2 linked regions of the Sus scrofa genome follow. The protein of the gene in region 1 purifies or fractionates together with the protein of each later gene. This does not show direct contact. Links are inferred from orthologs where the notes say so. Each region holds a gene or a part of one and is shown in the gene's direction. Other genes may lie near its edges.

The links.
Region 2: the proteins of FUS (region 1) and RALY purify together in Homo sapiens (affinity purification with mass spectrometry; 3 studies listed by BioGRID and IntAct, with this or other methods). This does not show direct contact. The link is inferred for Sus scrofa from reciprocal best matches to the Homo sapiens genes FUS and RALY.

The regions. Positions count from the first base shown.
Region 1 is NC_010445.4:17,323,721-17,327,915, reverse strand, and holds the start of FUS (RNA-binding protein FUS), read left to right. Parts: upstream 1-1,350; coding exon 1,351-1,363; intron 1,364-2,915; coding exon 2,916-2,940; intron 2,941-3,035; coding exon 3,036-3,190; intron 3,191-4,042; coding exon 4,043-4,187; intron 4,188-4,195. UniProt on the Homo sapiens protein: DNA/RNA-binding protein that plays a role in various cellular processes such as transcription regulation, RNA splicing, RNA transport, DNA repair and damage response. Binds to ssRNA containing the consensus sequence 5'-AGGUAA-3'.
Region 2 is NC_010459.5:37,446,830-37,451,015, forward strand, and holds the start of RALY (RNA-binding protein Raly), read left to right. Parts: upstream 1-1,368; 5' UTR 1,369-1,499; intron 1,500-1,912; exon of another isoform or gene 1,913-2,222; intron 2,223-4,186. UniProt on the Homo sapiens protein: RNA-binding protein that acts as a transcriptional cofactor for cholesterol biosynthetic genes in the liver. Binds the lipid-responsive non-coding RNA LeXis and is required for LeXis-mediated effect on cholesterogenesis.

The DNA.
Region 1 (4,195 bases):
AGTGCAAGTTGCAAGTTAATTTGAATTTCATGTTTTGTCCTTTTTCTCATAAGGAGTGAACAAGCTTCAGAACACTTCAAAATGTCTGTATAACTAACAAAAGGAGTATTTTGCAGCCACACAGACCTGGATTCGAATTAGACCCCTTACATTTGGCTGTTCCATAATCATAGATTGCATTTGGCCTGAGTCTCATTTTTTTGGTGTATAAAAGATAGCCTTGCTATCTTTCTTCGTAAGATTGTGATGGAAAAGCAATTAATTGGGCTTTTTTTTTTTTGGCCGCGCCCACTGCATGCAGAAGTTCTGGGGCCAGGGAGTGAACCCTTGCCACAGCAGCCACCTGAGCCACAGTAGTGACAACGCCAGATCTTTAACCCACTGTGCCCTGAGAGAACTCTCTAATTGTGCATTCTGAAGCCACTTCAGCCCTATACAAATATCAATTATTGTTGGATCTGCACATTGATTCCTCCGTAGGGTTTCAGGAAAATACTCCCAGCCCTTTATCAGCAAAAGGCTGGGAGAACCCTGATATAATCTCAATCTCCGGATTGTTTGGGCTTTTCTGTCCAACAGCGAGTCAGAAGCCAAGCTTTGAGGTTGTAGGTGGGCCATAAATGCTTAATCAAAACAGGACCCAGGGGTCCGAGCTAAACTCCATGCTTGCTTTCACGTCAAACGTCACAATCCACAAGCCCTGGTAAGGACAACCCTGAAAGACGATGAGTGAAAACCAAGACGAAGAAAGGTAGTGTGTGTGGTCGGGGGAGGGACGTTAGAACCAAGAGAGGGAGGCTGGCGCGGGAGGGAGGATGCATCTGATGCAGTGGAAGGGCAGTGGAGCGGAGAAGCTCGCTATCCGGAGTGAAAGTGAGGCCCAGCGAAAGGGGCCAGCCTGAGGAATTTCGGTTCCCGCCCCACGACTCCCGGCTTTGACTACAGTTCCGCCCGCAGACGCCCTAGGCCCCTCGCCCCGCCCCCAGAGGGTAATCGGACTGTACCATTATGATCTTATAGGGGTGGAAGTGAATCTTTGGCTCGTCCTTCAGAGAAAATATAAATTATTTCTCAGAAAAAATAAGGCTATATATATTATTTGCATGGTTCTTAGTGAATAACAATTATGTTCTGCCGGCTAGGACCCTATATATTCCCTGAAGGGCGGCAGGAGTCCGGCCATGCTTCCCCTTTTCCTTTCCGCATTTGGTGCATTCCCCCAGGATACGTAGGCGGGGGAGGCGTACATAAACCTCGACGCAGGAGGCGGGGCTGCTCAGTCCTCGAGGCGTCGGTGCTCAGCGGTGTTGGAATTCTGTTGCTTGCCGGCCTGTGCGCGCGTGCGCGGACATGGCCTCAAACGGTATGTAAGTGCGCGAGGCGGCGGTGGCGCGCCAGCCCTGGAGCTCGTAAGCTCCCAGTTGGGCTTTTGTTTCTCGGTGGGGCCCGGGCAGCGATCGCATGTAGGATCTTCTCCGCACCACTGGCGGGAAGCAGCGGAGAGGGGTGGAAGGGGGAGGCCGATGTCGCCATTTTGTTTCGCTCCGCTGGCGCCTCGCGCAGGGCGGGAGGTCTTCCCTTTGCAGCCCCTTTCCTTTAGGTGAGGGTTGGGAGGAACTCTTCTTGGTGACTGGGGACGTGAGACGCGGATGGAAATGCTTGGTCCCCGTAGCCTTCTCTCCTCCGCGTCTCCAGCCCCGCGCTCGGGCCCGCTTTGTCGCAGTGCTGCATCCGGGCACTCGGTGCGCGCACGCGCTCTACTGGCCCCTCCCCCCTTTTCTGGCGGCGCGAACCCCCCTCCCGCCTCGTGTCGGCCCTGCTTTTTGTCGCGAGACCCTCCACCGGCAGCTCCGCGGCGCTCGTCCGGTGTGGGCCTCGCTCCCGGGGTCCCTCGGGAAGGGGCGGGACCTCCTCGTTCCCGCCTCGCGTGCCACGCGGCTGGGGGCGGAGGCTTTGGATCGGGACCGCGCGCCCGTTTAACGGCTAGGGGTGGGGGGCTAGGGGGTGGTCCAACGGACTTGGGGACCGGGTGAGGCTTTTCCCGCCTAAATTTTCCTCCTTGGGAGGTAGGAACTGAAAGGAACGGCCGCCTTAGGCCACACCCTCTCCCGATCCTTTTGCCGTTTCCTGCGGGGAAAGCTGTTTCCTGTATCGAGATGAGTTGATCAGGCTTGTGCTGTCTTCCTTGTGGCGTTTTCGTTACCTTGGATTCGCCAAGTCTCCCCGCAGCCCCGAGGCAGGCAGGGGAGATAGGAACTCGTTGGGAGCCGTAGGGCTGAGGACCTGAGTACCAGTCGGCTTGCCTCTCGAGGCGACCGCTCTTTGATGGCGATCTCTGTCGTTTGGGGTCAAAGAATTCTCCCTTCTTGGTGAGCTGGCTCTGCACTAAAAGCCCCCTGTTCCTGTCTCCAAGATTGGATGGAGGGTGGCCTCTCTCCAGATCTTGAGACTTTCTTTGGGTTGAGAAAGTGCAGGCTACAATCGGAACGTTTTTGCTTCTGGCTTGCAATAAAGCCTGTTCTGCTCAAGCAGCTGTGTGGCTTCAGTTGGACTCTTGGGGATACCTTCCTCATAGAGTGGGTGTGAAAACATGTGAGTCAGTTTGTGCAGTTCCGGATATCAGTTGAAGTTGCAGAAAAATGGTAGTTGTCCACCAGGACTCTTGCTTTTTCCAGTACTTAAGGCCTCTTGGTCTCGGTAGAAATTCGCTTTTTTGGTGTGTCTTTATTGTGAGAAAACTTGACTTTGGTCTGCCGTCTTGCCCCTCTCAACTAGGGTTTCAGGAGGGGATTTCTGCCTTGTCAATTTTCACATCTAGGGGCTCTGGGGCTTGAGTTGAGGCCTTTACCTCTAGTTTGTTCTCTTAGGGGTGGCTGAAGGTAATGTTAATATGATTGTATTTTTCTGTTTTGCAGACTATACCCAACAAGCAACCCAAAGGTGAGTGTCATTTCTGGGTTTCCAGAGTTTGTAGGGGGCAAGGGTGGCTAAGGTGTCTTTTCCTGAGAGCACCGTTGTTGCCTTTTCTTCTCCAGCTACGGGGCCTACCCCACCCAGCCTGGGCAGGGCTATTCCCAGCAGAGCAACCAGCCCTACGGACAGCAGAGTTACAGCGGTTACGGCCAGTCAGCGGACACTTCAGGCTATGGCCAGAGCAGCTATGGCAGTTCTTATGGACAGACCCAGAACAGTGAGTCTTTTTAAGTGGGTCACCCTTCCTCTTCCTGCTTTTTCTGAATGTTGCTTTTCTTAAACCTAAGCAGTGCTGAACTGTTGAAACTGTCCCCCAGTTTCTTTGCCCTTAACCAGTCTGTGATCCTTCAAGCTACTTAGAGTTTGAGTTCTTTCCAAGTACTTAATTCTGTTTCCTTTTATTTTCTTTGACTTTGCATTTTTTGATTTATGCTGCACTTCTCCCTGTTTCCCCTAAGAATGAAAGTGAAATTGGGGAAGAATATTCCCTAAAGGGAAAAGAGTTTTAAGTTTTTGATATTTAAAAGGAGAAAATGGGGAGTTCTCATCATGGTGCAGCGGAAACAAGTCGACTAGGAGCCATGAGGTTTCCGGTTTGATCCCTGGCCTTGCTCAGTGGGTTAAGGATCTGGCGTTGCTGTGAGCTGTTGTGTCGGTCACAGACGCAACTTGGGTGTGATCCTGTTGTGGCTTTGGTGTAGGCCAGCTGCTGCAGCTCCAATTCGACCCTTAGCCTGGGACTCTCCCTATGCTGTGGGTGTGACCCTAAAAAGCATAAAAAAAAATAAAAGGAGAAAATGATTTGCTTGAAGACGTTGGAAATCAGCATACTGTATATCACATTGATACACAAAGAGGTGGAATTTGCCCTTAGGTGCTGAAGGGTAAATAATCTGAGATGTACATCACAGGCTGGTTAAATGCTGTTAAAGGAGAGGGATCTCTTGGGCTGTGATTGGCGGTGGTTCAAGAGGCTGGCTTCAGGTGTAGGTAGCATTAGGGATGTATACAGTGTTTCATCAACCTATTCTCATTCCTCAATTCATGACTTTTTTTCTTTTTCTCGTAGCAGGCTATGGCGCACAGTCAGCTCCCCAGGGATATGGCTCAACTGGTGGCTATGGTAGTGGCCAGGGTTCTCAATCGTCTTACGGGCAGCAGTCTTCATACCCTGGCTATGGCCAGCAGCCAGCTCCTAGCAGCACCTCGGGAAGGTAAGGAG
Region 2 (4,186 bases), on another chromosome or scaffold:
TATCAAACTACACAAGTGTAGCTATAATGGCTGGTCTGGGCAGGATTAATTTCAAACTGTGTCCAGTGCTGGGGAAATCCCGTCTCCTAGGCAGGTTTTGGGGGATGTGATGGGAAAAATACAATAATAGGCCGGACAATGCAAGTCTATAGCTGAGGGCTGAAGGTCTTACTGTCCTCACAGTGGAGGCTAGAACACGGATCTAGGTGAGAGTTCTCACAGGAGAAATATTTAGGAGGGAGGACACACATCCAGACCCACATCAAGTTACAAAAAATTTCCAAAAGGGTAAAGTTATTTGAATTTAACCTTTTTTCAGGTCCTCCCCAGACACGTCCTCATGACAGTGTCTTCTCCCAGACCCAACTGGCAGCGTGGATCCTCGCCCAGTGCACACACCAGGTTCCCTGTAAGTGAAAGGACCTTGCCTTCCTTCCTACTTCTCTTCCGCATCCCTCGAGCACTGCCCACCGCCAACTTGTTTGGGCCGCGTCTTCAGGCCCCGCCCACCTCCAGTCCCAGCCCTACACACACCCCCGGTCACCCTTTCGGTCCCGCCTCCTTCCGGCTCCTTCCCAGAGTGGCCACCTTTGGGCCCCTTCTCCCGGCTCGGCTTCCGGGCCCGCCTCCTTCTGCCCGGCTTCAATCTTTCCTCGGGTACTGGGTTTCTTTCAACCCCGCCTCCAGACCCCTCCTCTAAGAGCCTCTCCTCCCCCAGACTCGCCGGGCCTCCCTCCACCCTTGACGTCTCCTTTGGGCAAACCTCCATTTAGCCCCGCCCACACCCCTCCTCTCACACACTGCCCGGGTTCTCCACTCTGCGAGGCCTCCACTGTCTTCCATACCTGTGTCGCGCGTCTCTGCTCTCTGGCATCATCACCCTCTCCGCCCTGCCCCGCCTTCCGCTTCATACTGGTTTAAGCAAGTCTCTCTCCGCCCTAGCTCCGCCTCCCCAACCTCCCATCTCTGTCCCTCCTCCCCATCAAGCCCCGCCCTGGCCCCGCCTTCCTTTTCTCCCCGCCGAAGCTCTGGACCTTTCCAAAGCTAGACTGGAGAGGTGGGACGAGCCCTTGCGCGTGGGGGGCCGGGCTGTGTCAGGGCGACGCTACGGACTCCTCGCGCTTGAGTCGCCGTGCCCTTTGGAGACAGAGGCGGGGGAAGAGGGCGACTGGGCCACGGCCGGAGCGGCGGGCGGCGCGGAGCCCGCTCCGTGCTCCCCTACCCCCGCGCGCCTCAGTGGTGCTGGCCGAGGGAAGGACTCGCGGCTGCGGGGCTCGCGCGGCTGTCAGTGCGGCGGGGCGCGCGAGCAGCGCGGCTGCGGGGTGGGCTGAGCAGAGAGAAGCTGAGGGGGCGGTAGCGGCAGCGGCGATTCGCGTGCCTGTGCTCAGCTCCTCACGCCGCGGCCGGGGCCGCCTTCTCCCTCCTTCCTTCCCGCCCCCGAGTGCGGCGGTACCGCCTCCTTCAGCGCCGCGCGGCTTCCTCCAGACCTCCGTGCGCGGGTGAGTGGGGGCCGCGGGCGTCTTCTTAAAGGTGCGGGGAGGGGGTGCTCCTTATTCCTTTTTGGTCACCTACCTCCTGGCGCGGGCCGTCGCCTATTTTTAGAAACTCTTTTCTCGGCCATTCGGGGAGTCCCGGGAGCCCGAGTAACTCCCGGCCCCCTCCCCCCGCACCTTCCCTCCACCCGGGCTCGCCGCCCCGGGTCGCCGGCCCGCCCGCGCCCGCTCCCGGCTGCCCTGGCGTTCCCTCCCCGCCATCTCCCCGCGGGCCGGGCCTGGGCCAGGAGTTGGCGGGGTGGGCCGGCGCCCGCTTGGAAGTTGGAGTCTTTTGTGCTCGCGCCCCGCCCCGCCCGGCGAGGGGAGGAGGGGGGAGCGGAGGCCGCGCTGGGGAGGCCTTGGGCGGGCCGGGCTCTGGCTCCGGCCGCGAGCTTCTTCCGGTTCTCCCTCTCGGGCAAGGTTTGCGGGCTCCCGGAGGCGCGCAAAACTGGTCCCGCCTCGCTCCCCACGGGCCTGAGCGCCTCCTCGGTCCTGGGCTCGTTGCACACCCAGGGCTTGTGGAGGAACAACAGCAGGCCCAAGACCGGGGCCGTGTTCCGCACCTCACGCACGCAGCCTTTTGGCCTCAGTTCGCTTCTCAGTGCAAAAGGAGAAAGAAAGTCGCTTCGCAGGGTGATTGTGGATTCAGGGAGAGAACAGATATTTGAGGGAAGTGTTTACTACCAACAGGTAACATTTAATGGACTTGACTCGGGAACTTCCTAAGTCTTATTTCATTGAATGCTCACAATGGCCTTCTGGGGTTATCCCCATTTACACAAGCAGAAATCCACGCGCAGAAAGGTTAAATAATGTGTTCCAATTTACAGTTAGTAGGCACAGAAGTGTAAAGCCGTGGTGCTAGTACCTGTTATTTATTTCTTAGTGCGAGCTTGTGAAATCTCTCAGTTACAGAAGGGATTTTGACTTAATCTTTGGGTCACACCATTAGTTGAGAGACCAGTGTCCACTATGGATGAAATGCCATTCTTGATCTTTGGGAGGTAAGAGGGAAAGGAAGTTGCTATGAATTTCTTGCTAATATTGCCCGTTAGAACTTGATGGATGCTAACGACTCCAGATCTCAAGCGCCGAAGTTCCCTGGGGGTTTGGTTCAAGGAAGGCCTAAGCCGTTTAAAGCAGTGAGCTGCGTCCTTTATTTTGTTTGTGGCATGTTCCTCCCCACCAAACCTTGCTTGTCCTCTATAGTGTTTAGATTTAACACTATAAAATCTAATAGTGTAGGGGAGAGGGAGCAGAAAGTGGCTCTAGTCAACCGTTTCAGCTCCCTGCCTTCAAATAGGGATTTATTTCTCCTATTTTCAGGCAAGGCCCAGAAGGGTCAAAGTGAACTAAAGTTGACTTTGGCAGGTGTTCTAGATTTCCAATGTATTTCATCTCTGGTGTTTAAAGATTAGGCAAGGGAGTTCCTAGGCCAGGTCTTGAGGAGTCTCCTGATGTTAGCATTAGTTCTTTGGAGTGCGGAGATTGGCTGTGTTCTCCTATTTCCAAGATTCTGGATTTAAGAGTTGTATATAGGTCTGGAAGGGGTCTTATCTGGTCTTTTTTTTTTTTTTTCCTTTGGCTGCGCCTGTGGCATGTGGGAAGTTCCTGGGCCAGGGATCTGACCCACGCCACAGCAGCGACCTGAGCTGCTGCAGTGACAAATGCCAAATCCTTAACCCACTGTGCCACCAGCGGAACCCCTGCCACCTTTTGAAAGGAAGGAAGGCCTTAAGACCAGGAATGCTGAGTAAATTGAAATCACAGGGAAGTTGTTTACTCCCAGCATTAAAAGGCCAGGTTTTATGCACAGGTATATTATTAGTTCTCATAAGTTACCACTTTTATTGTATAGTACGTTATTTATGGTTTGTAGTGCTTTTTTGTAACCATTATCTAATTTCATTTCTCATCCAGTTCTGTGAGGGAACTTGCGGAGGTTGGTTTTATATCTCCTTTTTACAGATCTAATTGAGAATTAAGACGTAATATGGTTAGGGCAGTTGTCTTACCACCAAATTAAACAAGTGGTGAGGACAGGACATCTCTTATGGGCAAAGGATTTGATTTGATGTGGCAGCATGAACTCAGCCATTCATTTGGCTCTCCGATCCTCAGTTTCTTTATCTCTTAACTGTCACAGGGTTGTGTGGGGACTATGAGAAATGGCTATGAAAGTACATTGTAATAGTAGGAATAATTGCTAACATTTATTAAGTAATTTGCATGTAGCAGTCACTGGACTAAGGACTTTCTGTAAGTATCTCATGTAGTCCTCAGCAAGTATATGAATTAGGTACTATTATTAAGCCCATTTTGCAGAAGAAGAAACAGCGTTAGAGAGGTTATATAAGATAAAATTTACAATTTTAACCATTGTTAAATGTACAGTTCTGTGGCATTAAATATATTCACATTGTTGTGCACCATCACCACCATCCATGTCTAGAACTTTTTCACCTTCCCCAGCTGAAACTAACTACTTTCATAGTTTCCCCCTACCCCTGCAACTATCATTCTCTTTTCTGTTTTTATGAATTTGACTACTCTAAGTACCTCATATGAATGGAATCATACAATATTTGTCCTTTTGTAACTGGCAAAGTTGGCATTCTCAGTGCTTCCTTAAATCTAGGGTGCCCTATTAATGC